2 linked regions of the Caenorhabditis elegans genome follow. The protein of the gene in region 2 interacts with the protein of the main gene of each other region in a pairwise test. Each region holds a gene or a part of one and is shown on either strand. Other genes may lie near its edges. The genes, in order: puf-8 and skpt-1.

Evidence for each region.
Region 1: the proteins of skpt-1 (region 2) and puf-8 interact in a two-hybrid assay, tested with the Caenorhabditis elegans proteins (one large-scale study listed by BioGRID).

What each region holds. Positions count from the first base shown.
Region 1 is NC_003280.10:7,293,554-7,301,652, reverse strand, and holds puf-8 (PUM-HD domain-containing protein), read left to right. Parts: upstream 1-3,405; 5' UTR 3,406-3,423; coding exon 3,424-3,546; intron 3,547-3,679; coding exon 3,680-3,965; intron 3,966-4,011; coding exon 4,012-4,105; intron 4,106-4,151; coding exon 4,152-5,018; intron 5,019-5,062; coding exon 5,063-5,226; intron 5,227-5,275; coding exon 5,276-5,349; 3' UTR 5,350-5,538; downstream 5,539-8,099. Other genes in the region: C30G12.1 (uncharacterized protein), read right to left, coding at 163-390, 435-697, 810-1,061, 1,118-1,272, 1,318-1,454, 1,661-1,769, 1,817-1,917, 1,966-2,082; C30G12.6 (uncharacterized protein), read left to right, coding at 5,638-5,920, 5,968-6,606, 6,655-6,888, 6,941-7,128, 7,174-7,334, 7,382-8,099.
Region 2 is NC_003281.10:5,444,824-5,452,569, forward strand, and holds skpt-1 (F-box domain-containing protein), read right to left. Parts: upstream 3,457-7,746; 5' UTR 3,421-3,456; coding exon 3,342-3,420; intron 3,299-3,341; coding exon 3,217-3,298; intron 3,170-3,216; coding exon 2,845-3,169; intron 2,802-2,844; coding exon 2,515-2,801; intron 2,406-2,514; coding exon 2,272-2,405; intron 2,222-2,271; coding exon 2,059-2,221; intron 2,009-2,058; coding exon 1,813-2,008; 3' UTR 1,690-1,812; downstream 1-1,689. Other genes in the region: disl-2 (DIS3-like exonuclease 2), read left to right, coding at 1-265, 452-931, 977-1,165, 1,216-1,470; F48E8.8 (Hsp20/alpha crystallin family protein), read right to left, coding at 4,015-4,142, 4,190-4,375, 4,531-4,651, 4,697-4,813, 4,909-4,989; paa-1 (putative serine/threonine-protein phosphatase PP2A regulatory subunit), read left to right, coding at 5,918-6,426, 6,478-7,337, 7,385-7,602, 7,656-7,735.

The sequences.
Region 1 (8,099 bases), on a different chromosome or scaffold from region 2:
AACATCTGTGTTTGTGTTCATTTAATAAATATTTTATTAATTTCAACATGGAAAATTAGGTCAAAATACTTTGAAAAAAACAACCGAGATGCCTGAAAAATGAAAGAAAATTAGGGGACCCGATAGGAAAAGTCTGTTTAATTATTTGGTAGAGTAATAAAACTAAAAATGGAAAGGATTTGAATTCATATGAACTCGGCAAATCTCGTTTGGAAGTCGATGAGAAAGAGGGTTCGGTGCAGAATATCTAGAATCGGTCGAAACAAGAGTAGTAAACGGTTGATGGGGAATGAATAGATGATTATGAGAAAGACCTCCAACTCTTGTAGACGGTAGAAATGGATTTGGGGCTGCAGGTGTTGGAAGAATGAAACGAAGTGGAAGAGGAGTCTGAAATAATTGATAATTCAGATGTATTAAAGATTTAAACCTACAGTAGTAGTTGCAACATTTCTCATCGATAGAGCCTGTTTCAATGAATATTCATCAATCATTTCATTTTTTTCCAATGCCTTTGAAATTAACTTCAAGATAATTGGATCAACAACTGTTTGAATACTTGAAAGTGAAGAAGAAGAAGCTGATGGCATTGTTGCAGGAGTCTTGGTTTTATCAAAATTTGGTTGTCTAGTTGTGGTTGAAAATGGAATCGTTTGAAGTGATATTTGTCTTGGAGTTGTGGTAGTTGTTGGAATGGCTGAAAATTGACAGCTTTAATCGGATGTTAACTTAATTTATTAATTATAAATTGCAATTTTGAAAATGTTGTATATACTGAATTTTTCAAATAGTTGTCTTGTAGATGTTACCTGTGGATGTTCTTGTTGTGGTTGTCATAGTAGTCGTGGTAATTTGAGGATTAGTTTTAGTAGTGAAAACATTGAAAACTTCTTTCTTTTTTTCTGGTTTCTGTGATTTTCTTGGTTTCATTGTTGTAAAAGTGGCTCTATACGGAGAATCAATCTTCGTAATATCAATGACTGGAGCTACTGGAACTGATGCAACGGGTGGTAATTGGGGTTTAAATTGTGAAGCAGCTAATAATTCAATCATATCCTTATCTGGAATAATGAAATGTTTAATTTTCATAACAAATATCTCGAAGAAAGGAAATCACCTTTCCCGAGTTCAAACAAATTCTGCCACGGACCTTCCATTGCAAAGAGAGGACTTTGACTAACTACTGGAAGGAATCGAGAAGTTACTGTAGAGTTAATATTCAAAAGTTTGTGAAGCATTTCACTAAAATCTCTTTGTGGTCGTGTGCCAGGCCTGAAACAAGATTATTTGAAAATGCAGAATATTGGATGAACTTACAATGGTTTCGAGCTTCTTTTGCTACGTTTCCTTTTTGATTCTCCATACATTCGTCTCATTTTAACTAACTGTATTTTCTGTTTCTCAAAGTTTGTTAATGGTCGGATAAGATGATCTCCAACGTAGACGTGATTATTCTAGAAAAAAACCGTATTTGTTAATTGTAGTAATTAAAAAGTGAAGTGACTATTTCATAGATTCTGACAAAAGAATACGGTAATTGGTCTCGAAGCGTCTTTGACCTATCAATTTCCGATCGTGTCGACCCCTGATACCGTAATATTGAAGATTTACATTAAAACCAGATGGTTCTAACTATACACAATTGGAAAAAAAAACTTACTCGAACAATACAAGAATCCAACACCACTTCAATAGAATCATCATACCCTCCACAGAATTTTGGAATTGTAGGAAACGAGGCTTCGAAAGAATCAAATGAAGATGATGAACTGTAAAACGCTTAATTTTCAAAACAATCGAGAATAGAATGACAAACTCTTTGAATGCACTTAGATCATGCTGATACGAACTAAATATGTGTAGTTCGTGATCATTCAACTTTCGCTTGGAAACACCATGAAGGAATAGGGTACTGTCCTGAAAGATTTGGAAGATATTTTCAAATTGTTTTCTACGAATGCTTACAAATACAGCACATGCTGGTCCAACATAACCATATCCAGGTTGATATTCAGGTGGTGTATTTAGAATTAGGGCATTACCAATTAAAGGTAATATAAAATAATGAAGACTTTTAACCATGGCAACCAAAGGGTACACCTAGTCAAAGACTCTATTTGGTCGTGATGAGTTCAAGTTACGAAGCAAGAACAAAGATGGGACTGTGAGGAGACAAGGGGCGTCGCTTCTCGGCACACAAACTATGGTGTTGTTCCCACGGCCGGAAGCTGCTTTACACGAACCTTATGCAATCGGACGCTCTATGTTCGTACACACACACAATACGCTCGTACGATCGGCCAGCCTGCAACCTTTTTCGATGTGAGGCTTTGTTTTCCAAAATTAAATATACACAAACAGACAAAATCTAATTCTCGTTAAAGGTCAGAAAGGGGTTGGAATGGAGATGACAATGAAATAGAGGTGGGAGGAAATTTGATACGATGGCCGGCGAACGGACGGTCGGGAAGAAAAAAAAAAACTAAATTTGTCGAGAATCTTCACGTTGTTTGCTTTTGCATGCTCTACACACTTTGAAGTTTTTGAAACGGTCATTCGACTCCCGAGAATAAAAAGATGAAGATGTATATCCATTTCATTGTAAAGAAAGAATCAAAACGGTCAAGCTATGTTAAGCACAAAGCACATGGAAAATAAATTTAGAATATTCAATACTATGCATAACAACACTCATTCATACACTTTCTGCCAGTTCTGAAGAGTTGAGAGTGAGGAAATATCGACTTTGGAGCAGGTATCTCTGAGAGCACAAGTATATTCAATTGATCTACTTAGCATTTGATCTCCAGAAAAACGGAGATTAATATAAATGCTATGTTTACATTTACTGTTACATCTACACAGGGTCTTCACTAGGTCAGCTTGGGATTCGTATAAAATTAGGTCCCTGAAGAATTAGGTCTCGCCGCGAACTCGAATCACATGGGTTTTCAGAAAATACAGTACCCGACACCATATTGAAACTACATAATCCAAGCCTACTATTTTTTCAAAAAGTCGAAAAAAATGTTTTTTCTACTCTCCTACATGCCACGCCTCCTTTCAGCATATTACCTTTTCGTATATTAAGTTTTTCACCAGTTCTCCTTTCCATGGACTCTCAAGTGCGTGCGGAACCTCAATAATTTAAAGGAACATGCATTTAATGGAGAAATGGGTTTCACCACGAACACCACGACTACGGTATTCGTTCGAAAATTATCCGAATAAATACGGAACTCCTGTTCTAAATAGTGATTTTTGATTGTTTTTCATTGTTTTCTCATTTTAATGTTCTAAATTCTCATGTGCAACTATTTTAATTAATAAAAATAAATAAAGTACGCGTTGCAATTGTTTTTTCAAGCTGAACTATGCCTCCTTGACCTAAAGTAATTATTTTAGGGGTAATCTGCGTTCCTGATGAGTCGTCCGATTTCAATTGGGAATACATGCACATTTGATCCTTCAGCTTCTCCGATTGAATCTCTTGGGAGGAGCATCGGTGCTCAGAAAATAGTGGATAGTGTATGCGGATCTCCGATTGTGAGTCTTGTTTATTGCAATATTGAAATTATTTTTTATTTTGAATAGAAATACAATGTTCATGCAATAAATCACACTGATAGATTTGCCGCAGTGTTTGTCAATTAAATTTTCAATAAAACAATGATTTCAGAGATCGTATGGCCGTCATATTTCTACCAATCCAAAAAATGAACGCCTTCCCGATACACCAGAGTTTCAATTTGCCACTTACATGCATCAAGGAGGAAAAGTAATTGGCCAGAATACATTGCACATGTTCGGAACTCCACCATCGTGTTATTGTGCTCAAGAAAATATTCCAATCAGCTCTAATGTCGGTCATGTCTTGAGTACTATCAATAACAACTACATGAATCATCAATACAATGGTTCTAATATGTTTTCGAATCAAATGACACAAATGCTACAAGCACAAGGTTAGTAAAAACATATTTCGAATATGGAAATTCTCCGTTTTTACAGCATATAATGATTTACAAATGCACCAAGCGCATTCTCAAAGTATTCGTGTACCGGTTCAACCGTCTGCCACAGGCATATTTTCAAATCCCTACAGGTTTTTTTCTAAACTCAAAAATAGTTTAAATATTTGTATATTTCAGGGAACCAACAACCACCGACGATCTTCTAACTAGATATCGTGCAAATCCAGCCATGATGAAGAATTTAAAATTATCAGACATTCGTGGAGCACTGTTGAAGTTTGCCAAAGATCAAGTTGGCTCGAGATTCATTCAACAGGAACTTGCTTCCAGTAAGGACAGATTCGAGAAGGACTCTATATTTGATGAAGTCGTTTCCAATGCTGATGAGCTCGTTGATGATATTTTCGGCAACTACGTAGTGCAGAAATTCTTCGAATATGGCGAAGAAAGGCATTGGGCTCGGCTCGTCGATGCAATAATTGATCGTGTACCAGAATACGCGTTTCAAATGTATGCCTGCCGTGTTCTTCAGAAAGCTTTGGAAAAAATCAATGAGCCACTTCAAATAAAAATTCTTTCTCAAATCCGACACGTCATCCATCGTTGTATGAAAGATCAAAATGGAAACCACGTGGTTCAGAAGGCCATAGAGAAAGTCAGTCCACAGTACGTCCAATTCATTGTCGATACGCTTCTAGAATCCAGCAACACAATTTACGAGATGTCTGTGGATCCCTACGGTTGTCGTGTTGTCCAACGTTGTCTCGAACACTGCAGTCCTTCGCAGACGAAGCCTGTTATCGGCCAAATTCATAAACGTTTCGACGAAATTGCAAATAATCAGTACGGAAACTATGTGGTTCAACACGTCATTGAACATGGAAGTGAAGAGGATAGAATGGTTATTGTTACTCGTGTCTCCAACAATCTATTCGAGTTTGCCACCCACAAGTACTCGTCGAACGTTATCGAAAAATGTTTGGAACAAGGCGCAGTTTATCACAAGTCCATGATCGTAGGAGCTGCGTGTCACCATCAGGAAGGGTATGTATATTCATGAAAAATGTAGATATAATTATTTCATTCAGATCTGTACCGATTGTTGTCCAAATGATGAAAGATCAGTACGCCAACTACGTTGTTCAGAAAATGTTCGATCAGGTTACATCAGAACAGCGCCGTGAACTCATCCTAACTGTTCGTCCACACATTCCCGTTTTGAGACAATTCCCTCATGGAAAGCACATTCTTGGTAAGATATTGCAAAGAATGATTTAATAATATTCAACCTTAATTTGCAGCAAAACTTGAAAAATATTTTCAAAAGCCGGCTGTCATGAGCTATCCATACCAAGATATGCAGGGATCTCACTAGCCCAATCAGTTTTGTACTATTCCCAACACTCAACTCCTCACAAATGTACCTTTAGTTATCTCAAATCCGGTTGTTATACCGGTTCTTTTTGTTATTCCCTGTGCATTTCTGTAGACAGCTTATCGTAATTTGTAATGTTACTCGTTTTGTAATTTTTTCCTAATCTTATTTTAGCATAAAAATTTGAAAAAAAAGTTGTTGAACATTTGTTTTAAAGATGTTTATATATCTCCCTTATATATCTTGAATTACTTGAAAACCGTTTTCGCACAAATCTAAATGTTTGAGATGGAGTCTGGTGATCATCTCGGAAATCTTTTCGATGATATGGTAGAAGAGGATAACGATGAAGATAGTTTTGAAGAACCTGCGTGTGAAGACAGTTTTGATTCTCAAGAAGCTTCATCGAAAGCTAACGAACCTCAAAACGACAGTTTCGATGAGCCTATTCAGAGCTCAGTAAGTAAACAAAGTGATGATGCAAACGGAGAAGATGAAATTAATGAAGAAGTCATACAAGAACAGAAGGAGCTGGATTTAAATGAAGAGGACTTCAATCTTTTGACGATTGGTTTGTTTGTGAGTATATATAAACGTTATAAGACAATCATGTTACAGAAGAAGTTCCGTTGGATGTTCTGACAGCTCGTATAAGAAGAGTGTTCACCGAAGTCACATATAGAGCAGAGCCTGCAGCGATAGCACTTTTTGACGTCGCACACAAAATAATTTTCAAGTCAACTATGTTAGATTGCAAACGGAATACTGTTATTGATTCGATAATTGAAGGGCTTATATCGATTATTGTTGATGAACGAGAACGAGATCAAGGTGCTGAGGAGGCCGAGCATGTACTTATGATATTCATCGCAAAACTTGCAATTAAAAACAAGTCAATGAAGTGCAGTGATCTTCTATATAAGCTGATTCTTCTTGTCGATCGTCTTTATTTGCACGCTGATTCTTTCGTTCGTTGTCGCATTTATCGACTCATCGCGTGTCTTATGGAAGAAGCGAATCGGTATGCTGATGTTATGCGGGAGCATGGAGATGACGCATTCCTCTCTGATGAAGATCCTACAGAGAGTGAAGTTATGATTCCAAGCGGAGTGAAAAACCGATGGATGGGAAAATTGGCGAAGAGTTTGTTGGACAAGTCGCCAGAAGTTAGATGTAAAGCTGTAATTGCTCTATCACTGTGGGACCACGATATTGAATGTAAAACCACATGTTGTGATGAAGTAACTGTGAATGATCGTAAGTTGGCAACACTCTTTATTAACCAGAATTCACGTTTTTTTACAGTTTTGTGGAAGAGTGTTCATGATGTTGATGAAAGTGTGCGTGTCAATGCAGCTCGTCGAGTTCACATTGCGAATGAGAACGATATTGATAAATGCATCGACTACGTCGAAACGAGCAAGGATAATCGTGTTAAACAAGCAATAATTGTGAGATTAGCATCTGATGTTTCATTGCTCTCGTTTTCTGAAAAACAAAGATTCCGGCTAGTAAATCTCTTAAACAACAGTGATAGTGGTAAGAAATATATGCTGACCAGTGTGATTCAATTGATTTAATTGATTTTCAGCTCGTGTACAGGATGTTATTCATCAACTTCTCGTCGAATCTTGGATGAAGGTGGCTGGTGATGAGATTATCTCTCCTTCTATATTTCCATTCCCGGACTCAGATAATAATAATATTCCTAAAGAATTTCCAAGTATCATACTTGAATATCTCGATCCTTTAGTTGATCCCACTGCAGTTTACGTCTTTGTAAGTTAGAAAGCTTCGGTTGATTTCCTACAAATTGAAATTCAGATGAAGTTCGCCACTGTTCGTTTCATCCAAAAATCAACCGTTCAGCAAGCATGCGGCTCTCTAGATGTTGAGAAGTTTATGAAGGATCTGCTTAGTATGACAATTCCTGATTGTGAAAGAGTTGGGCTGATGCGTCGAACAACCTTTAGGCTGATACCAAAGTGAGAAAATAATTGTTTTTCAATTTTTTTATACAGTCTTTTTCCAGAGACAATAACGATGGGAATGAGGACATAAGAAAGATTTTTTCACGAATATTCATTTCTCGGTGCTTTGTCGATGTCATTTTCAATTTCGCTAAAGGACGCCTCGACGCGACACATTTACGAAGCAGAGCACTCACATTCTTCCTACCGGACGTCACCACTTTTGTCGAACATCTTGAAAAATTCTGCGATGCTTATTTTCATCGAAACATGTCAACCGATTACACTTGCAAGGATCTTGTTCTGTATAATTTGCTTCATTTGATGAATGTGGCTACAAAGTATGGAGATTTGCATGATGACAAAATGCTGTACAAACATGCATTGAAGAAAATATTGGGAAATTCTTCTTTTGTTTTCTCAAGTGAAACTATTTTAACTATCGTTATGATATGTTTTGATCTTTGCAAAATTGGAGACGACGTTAAACAACTGTGCGACTGGATGTGTGATACCGCAAAGCAATTGATGTTATCTCACGAAGAAGTTCTTAATTTGGAAGAAGCTATGAAGAACGATAAGGTTCTCGAGCAAATGTATCTTCGAAGTGCCACAATGCTTCTTGCTACATGTAAACATGAAGAAGTCGAATCACCGACTGCATCAATGTCGTCGCTGTTCAAGACTATCATTCCAGCTCTTTTAGGGAATAAGAATGAAGAACTTCAGCAACTTGGATTGGAACTTATCGGATTCGCAACTTCGATTGACTTTGAAAAC
Region 2 (7,746 bases):
TATCAGATCCCGTGTTAAACTTGCCTACGAACATGCACAGGATTTCATCGAGAACCCGGAGAAGGACTTCACATGCGACGAGCTTCCCGATATTTCAGATGGAAATACGCCTTTTGAGATCAAGGAAAAGACTCTGATGTTGCACAGAATCGCGCAAGTTCTTCGACAAAAGCGTGAAGATAGTGGAGCATTGCGGATCGAGCTTCCCAGATTGAAATTTGCATTGGATGAGGATAAGAAGCCACAAGGAGTTTCTATATACGAGGTTAATAAACAGTTTTTTGTTAAAGAAAATGTGTTTTTATATTAATTTTTGTTTTCAAACAGCAATTTTTTGGTCACATTTTTTCGGTTCTAGCAACAAAAAAGTAATCCATAAATTTAGATTTTCAAAAATCGGAAATTTAAAAAGAATTGCCAATTTTATAAAATACAAATGTTAAAATTTCAGATCAAAGATTCGAATAAACTCGTAGAAGAGTTCATGCTGCTCGCCAATATGGAAGTGGCTAAAAAGATCGCTGAAAATTTCCCAGAACACGCCCTTCTTCGTAATCACCCGCCACCAAAAGAGAAAATGATAAAGGACGTGGCTGAGCAATGTGCAAGAATTGGATTTCCATTGGACGGAAGAACGTCTGGATTACTTTCCACGTCACTTCGCAAGTATCAAGGAAAATCCCGTTTGGATATGTGCATTCGACAAGTAATTTCCTCATTGACAATTAAGCCAATGCAACAGGCGAAATATTTTTGCACTTTCGAGATGCCTCTTTCATTTTATCATCATTTTGCTCTCAACGTGGATCATTATACACATTTCACATCGCCAATTCGTCGGTATCCAGATGTGATTGTTCATCGACAACTTGCTGCTGCTCTTGGTTATAATGAAAGATCTGAAAGAGTTCCTGAAGAGATACAGGAGATTGTAAGTTTTCAAACACTCAAGAAATTTTTGCATTTAAATTTTCAGTGCACCCGCTGCAATGACACAAAGCTCGCATCGAAGGAAGCTTCGGATGAGTCTGCGATGCTCTATTTTGGAGTTTTCATCCATCAAACCGGTCCGATGAAGTGCCAAGCTGTTGTTCTTGGTGTAATGGATCTCTCATTCGACGTCCTCATCGTTGAGTATGGAGTTGTGAAGAGAGTTTATGTGGATGTGAGTATAGATTTCAAACAATGACGAAAAAAAAATCCGAATAATTTCAGAAAATGAAGCGAGACTTCAACAAATCGACCGAGAAGCTTACCATTTACTGGCCAGCAGATCCGAATGCGGAATCCGGAAACCGTGAAGAGTTTTCGAGCTCAATTCAAATGTGCAACGTGGTTTACGTGATTCTCGTGCCGTACAAAAGCATTGAAGTCAGCGCGACAATTGTTCGTCCGAGTCTCGAGCAACGTAATATTCTCAAGTCGACTCTCAAGGACATGAAAGAAACGGGCTCAACAATTCTTCAGTAGTCATTCGGATTCAGTGATCTCCTCCAGCAAAAGCTTTTTTTCCTTTTTCAATCCTTTTTTCCCCTTTTTCTATCCTTTTTTTCCCTTTTTCTATCCTTTTTTTTCTCCTTTATCCTTTTTTTCTTTAAATTCCATTTTCCCGTTGTATTTTTTAAAACGCGTGTCCATTCCTCGTCCCGGTTACTTTTGGTGTCGAATGAAAATGCATTATTCAATATTACTAGCGAAACTTTTATTTGACAAGTTTTGGGTGTTAACTGTCACGTAACTCGTTAAGAAAATTAGAAACTAGAGAAATATAGGACAATTGAGAAGTGCAGTTAAAATAATATGTATTGTTATCTATTCGATATCCATCATTGTCTGTCCCCAGATCATATTCGACTCGCATTGGTAGCTGACCGGTTTGGCGGTGAAGTTGAAGTACTGACGGTTGACCTTCAGATTGGAGCACATTTCGAGGAAAAGCTCCATGTTCGTGTCAGAGACGCAGCCATGAACGTTGAGATAAACGAGCGAAGGCTTACTGTTGAAGTGTCTGGAAATGTTTTGTTTAAATAAATTAAACTAATTTTCAAATAAACTCACACAACCATATTAGGGTCCAATCCGTAGCATCGATTGAGAGAAATTGTCGTAAGTCTCGGGAATTTGTTCAGAATCACTGCGAGGCCTGGATCACTAATCTCGACGTTATCCGACAAGTCGAGGTCGGTGACGTAGTTGGATTTTGCGGCGAGAATCTCAATATCTGGAATTTTTTACAGAAAATTAGAAGATTCTGACAACAGAGCCGCTCACGTTTATTGTTGATGCCGAAGTTTCGAACTGTTCCCGAGAGATTCAACTTTTTGAGCTTCTCGCCAATGGAATGAATGATTACGGTCACAATTGGCTGTGTTAATCCACACCACGCCAGATTCAGTTGTTGCAGGCTGAAAAAAATATTACGAAGGTGCACGGGAACAAGAAATATGTTACAGAAATTATTTAAAGATACACGTGGCAAGAACACTTTCAGGAAAGTTTTAAAAAATCCCTCACTCTTTGCAATTTCTGAAGATCAAACTGGCTCCATTTGCCGTGATTCCGTTGGTCATCGAGATGTCGAGCTCGCGGAGCCCGCGATTCTCTGCAATGCATATTGCCACGTGGTCATCCAATTGATTTCCTTCAATTGACAAGCATTTGAGCTTCTGGCATGGTTTCAACATAATCTGCATTTGGCGGGCAGTGAGATTAGTGCGAGAGAGATCGAGAAGCTCCAAGCGGGAGGTGCTCAGCAGTGCAACTTCGACGAGCCGTTCATCGGCACGAAGGATTCGATCGGCCTGGAAACAGTTAGTTTTATAGGAAATAAAATAAAATTCTCACTTTAGCTCCTGCCAGACGAAGAACTTTGATTTTTCGTTGTGACAACGCAATCAGTGAAATTTCGGAAATAGGACGATCCTGGGCGTCGGTGATAATCCAATTTCTCGATTTGTGTCCGATTCCGTAAAAACGATGACAGACGAGCATCGCCGAGAGAAGATCCTTCTTTTTCAAATTGGAAAAGATTTGTTCAGTGATCTCATCGGGAATACTGTACTTTTTGAACGGATTCTGAATACTGCGTGCGTCTTTTCGCTTGATCGGAGCGATTTCATCTTCTACGAGATTTTTGCAATTCAGATTTATCGACTTTAGCTTTTCGGAGCTGAAATGTCGTAAAATTAAGAAAATTAAGAGATAATTGCAGCTTACTTTCCGGAAACTGAAAGCCTGAGGCTTTTCTTTGGATAGAGGTTGTAGCATGGAAAGATGGAGATGGTCTCATCTGAGAATACTTTGAAAAAGTCAATCATATTTGAATTTTGACACACAATTACCTGTCTCCACGCAATGCTCATTTTCAGAGGGTCCGTTATCTTCTAGAGTTGATGGAAGTCTTCCTATGACACGAGACATTTTGTTTGAGTAGATATGAGGTGTAGTATTTAGGTGGTAAATAAGGGAAAAAGCACTTTCTGCTTGAAATAAATTCAAAACAGGGCTGATTTGAATAAATATGAACTCGCGGGCGCGGTAATCTTTTTTAGGTTGGCGCGAGTTTTTGCAATGCAAACGCGCTCCACCGCAAATCTGAATTTTCGAACATTTTTCGCCAATTTTTATCCTTATTTTTTTATTTTTTGCAATATTTCGCTATTTTTATTTGTTTCTCCCACCAAAAGCGCACATTTTTAAATCAAAATACGATTAAATAAAAGTAATATAACTTTTTAAATAAGTCCAAATAACCTTTAAGCAAAGTAAGGGTCGAATCTGAAACTATTTCTTGAAAACAACTTTTTTGTCTCATTCATCGAAGATTGGTTGTATTCGGAAGTGAGAGGTTGACAAGTTTTTTAAAATCCATTTTATTAATTATTCCGAAATACACATTTAGTTCCAATAGTTTCGAAATTTAAAACGTTTGAGTCATCCTTCATTTTTTCTGCCTAGTTGCTGTGATCATTTGGAGAGAGTATAAGAATTTATTAATCATTTCGAAAAAAAAAATCATTTTTGAATATCCTGTATCATTCTATTAAACTTGAAGTTATTCGGCCGGTGTTGAACAATTTGCTCCTCATTGGCGATCATTTCGTTATTCTGATTTCTTCGATTATAACGGAAGGAGAGTGGATCTGAATTTACAGTAGATTTTAAATTGGTTTTTCTTGAATTTCCTCACCTAATTTTTGTAGTGGAACAGGCGCTATGTCCACCGGCTCTGCAATATTGTTCAAGCCGATCGAGCGATTTGCGTAGAGATTTATTTCATTAAAGATATAATCATCTGACAAATTATCTGGCACCCCTCGTTTTCTTTTAGAAGTTTCCTCGATAGGTTCGGTTACAATTACATCGGTTTGTTGAGCTGAAATAGGATCCAAATTATCAAATATCCTTCTCTATTCATGTTATAAATCTTGGTTGTAAGAACAGTTAACATAATTAGTAACAATTAGAAACCTGATGTGATTAAGATTCTATCACTGTTTTTAAATAGTAAAATAAATAATTTTGACATACGTATATTGATAACTTCTCCTCTTTGTAACGCCTCAATCAATGCATCCAAATCAAGATCTCCATCACCTTGAGCCTCACGCAGTGCTCTCTCCTTTCGAAGCCTTTCCTTCAGTCGTTTAATCTGTCATTAAGCCACTAGTATACACCTTGGAGAGCCACCACAAACCTGCTCGGCTCGTCGCCGTCTACTTTCCTTATCTATCTCCTCTTCACGCTTGCCGTCTGCCCATTTGTTGAAGCTGAATGTGTTGAACACATTCGCACCGTCTCCCATTGTACTGTTCTGTAAATATATAAACTGAGCTAATGAGAAGAATACGTACTAGAGCACCACGCTTTTGCGAAAAATGAGAACCAAAAGCTCGATTGTGCACTCACTTTTGCATATTTTATTAAAGCTTTTGACGTCCTTTTCTCTTTTGTTCGCCTGTTTGAAATTTTTGAAAACCAGGAAACCATGATGATTTTAAATGTTTAATGATGTTCTTCTAACAGCATGCCCACGCGTTTTGCCTGAAAATTCGAATCAAATTAATTTTCAGCCTTTTTATTGTTTAAATATCAGAAAAAAACTGGCTGTTCACTAATCACGTGATGCCTGTGTTTTCATCCTCCCTTCTACACTGAAAATATTCTATTTTAAGGACATTTTCAGTCATTTTCCGGCGCTGTTCCCTCTGTCGTCGCCACGTCCAGTACACCGAAACCGACGACAAATCGATGAGAGCTCTACGACCGCAGGCGCGATGGATTGTGCTATTGCAGTGAGAGAGAGATGGCCGTTCTCTGCTTCTCTGCGTATCACTGTCGCAGCTGTTTCTCTTCTTCTCCTTTCGCCGCTCTTTTTTTGCATGTTCGTCAGGTTCACTATAGCGATTTCTTAATATCGAAATTTCACGAGTTTCAGAGTTGATTTTCGAAAGATCAGTGAAAATATTGTCCACGTGGTAGAGTTTTTCACTGATTTCTCGAAAATTCCAATAGTTTCTTTAAAAATCACACTCTTCTTCTTTGAACAATTCCATTTCATTGATTTTCTATATTTTCGTACAGAAATAATAATGTTTCAACAAAAATATGTTTTCTAGCACTGAACATTCTTAAATTTGAATTTAATTTTCTTAATATCAGATATTCAAAGATGACTATTCGTAGATTCTGCAAGTTCTTTCAAAATACTCAATTTTTCTATTTTCTCTCCAATTTATTTCTCCAAAAACCACCCGGTAATCAATATTTCAACACATTGCTGTGTTATCTTCACTGCGTCTCCTCTCTCTCTCTTGTTCTCCTCATGCCCGATGATAATCCGTTTCTCTTCCCGTTCTTTCTCCTTTGAATAGCCGCGAGATTAATTTTCATAAAACAAATTTCAGCACTCTTCATCATGTCGGTTGTCGAAGAAGCCACTGACGACGCGCTCTACCCGATTGCCGTGCTCATTGACGAGCTGCGCAACGAAGATGTCACGTTGCGACTGAACAGCATTCGCAAACTCTCCACAATCGCTTTGGCGTTGGGTGTGGAGCGCACACGCAACGAGCTCATCCAATTTTTGACCGACACGATTTACGACGAAGATGAGGTTCTGCTTGTGCTCGCCGAGCAACTCGGAAATTTCACTCCATTGGTCGGTGGTCCAGATCATGTTCATTGTCTTCTCCTTCCACTTGAGAACTTGGCCACAGTCGAGGAGACCGTGGTCCGTGACAAAGCCGTTGAGAGTCTCCGCAAAATCGCCGACAAGCACAGCTCGGCCTCATTGGAGGAGCATTTCGTGCCGATGCTCAGACGTTTGGCCACTGGAGACTGGTTCACATCCCGTACCTCGGCTTGTGGGCTTTTCTCTGTTGTTTATCCACGTGTCAGTCCAGCTATCAAGTCGGAATTGAAGAGGTGAGAATTAAGAAAAGAATAACTAAAGCAATCTAAATTAATTATTTTCAGCATGTTCCGAACCCTGTGCCGTGATGACACCCCAATGGTTCGCCGTGCTGCTGCTGCAAAGCTCGGAGAGTTCGCAAAGGTGTTTGAGAAGACTGCCGTCATCGAGGGTCTCCACTCCAGTCTCACTGATCTTCATGTTGATGAGCAAGATTCTGTTCGTTTGCTCACTGTCGAGTCAGCCATCGCTTTCGGAACTCTCCTCGATAAGGCTAACAAGAAGAAACTCATCGAGCCAATTCTCATTGAATTGTTCGATGACAAGTCGTGGAGAGTTCGTTATATGGTTGCCGAGAAGCTTATCGAGATTCAGAATGTCCTCGGTGAGGATATGGATACCACACATCTCGTTAACATGTACACGAACCTTCTCAAGGATCCAGAGGGTGAGGTTAGATGTGCTGCCACTCAGAGACTTCAGGAATTCGCTCTCAACTTGCCAGAGGACAAGCGTCAGAACATTATCTGCAACTCACTGCTCAACGTTGCCAAGGAATTGGTTACTGATGGGAATCAGCTCGTCAAGTCGGAACTCGCCGGTGTCATCATGGGACTTGCTCCACTGATTGGCAAGGAACAAACTGTCTCTGAGCTTCTCCCAATCTACATGCAGTTGCTTAACGATCAAACCCCAGAAGTTCGCCTCAATATTATTTCCAGTCTTGATAAGGTCAATGAAGTGATCGGAGCAGCTCAATTGTCCACATCCCTCTTGCCAGCCATCGTTGGATTGGCCGAGGATGGAAAATGGAGAGTTCGACTCGCAATTGTTCAATTCATGCCACTTCTTGCTTCCCAGTTGGGACAAGAATTCTTCGATGAGAAGTTGCTTCCGCTTTGTTTGAACTGGCTTACCGACCATGGTAACTTGATTTTTTCTTAAAAATGTTTTTAATTTAATTTTTTCCAGTGTTCTCAATCCGCGAGGCATCGACCCTCATCATGAAGGAACTGACACAGAAGTTTGGAGGACAATGGGCTAGCACGAATATTGTACCAAAAATGCAGAAACTTCAGAAGGACACCAACTACCTGCAGAGAATGACATGCTTGTTCTGTTTGAATACACTCAGTGAGGCGATGACTCAGGAGCAGATTCTGAAGGAGATTATGCCAATTGTGAAAGATGTAGGGAAATTTTACTTTTTTATTTAAAGAAATCGTAATTTTTCTAATTTCAGCTTGTCGAGGATGACGTGCCGAATGTCAGATTCAACGCCGCAAAGAGTTTGAAGCGAATTGGAAAGAACTTGACCCCAAGGTGACAGGAAA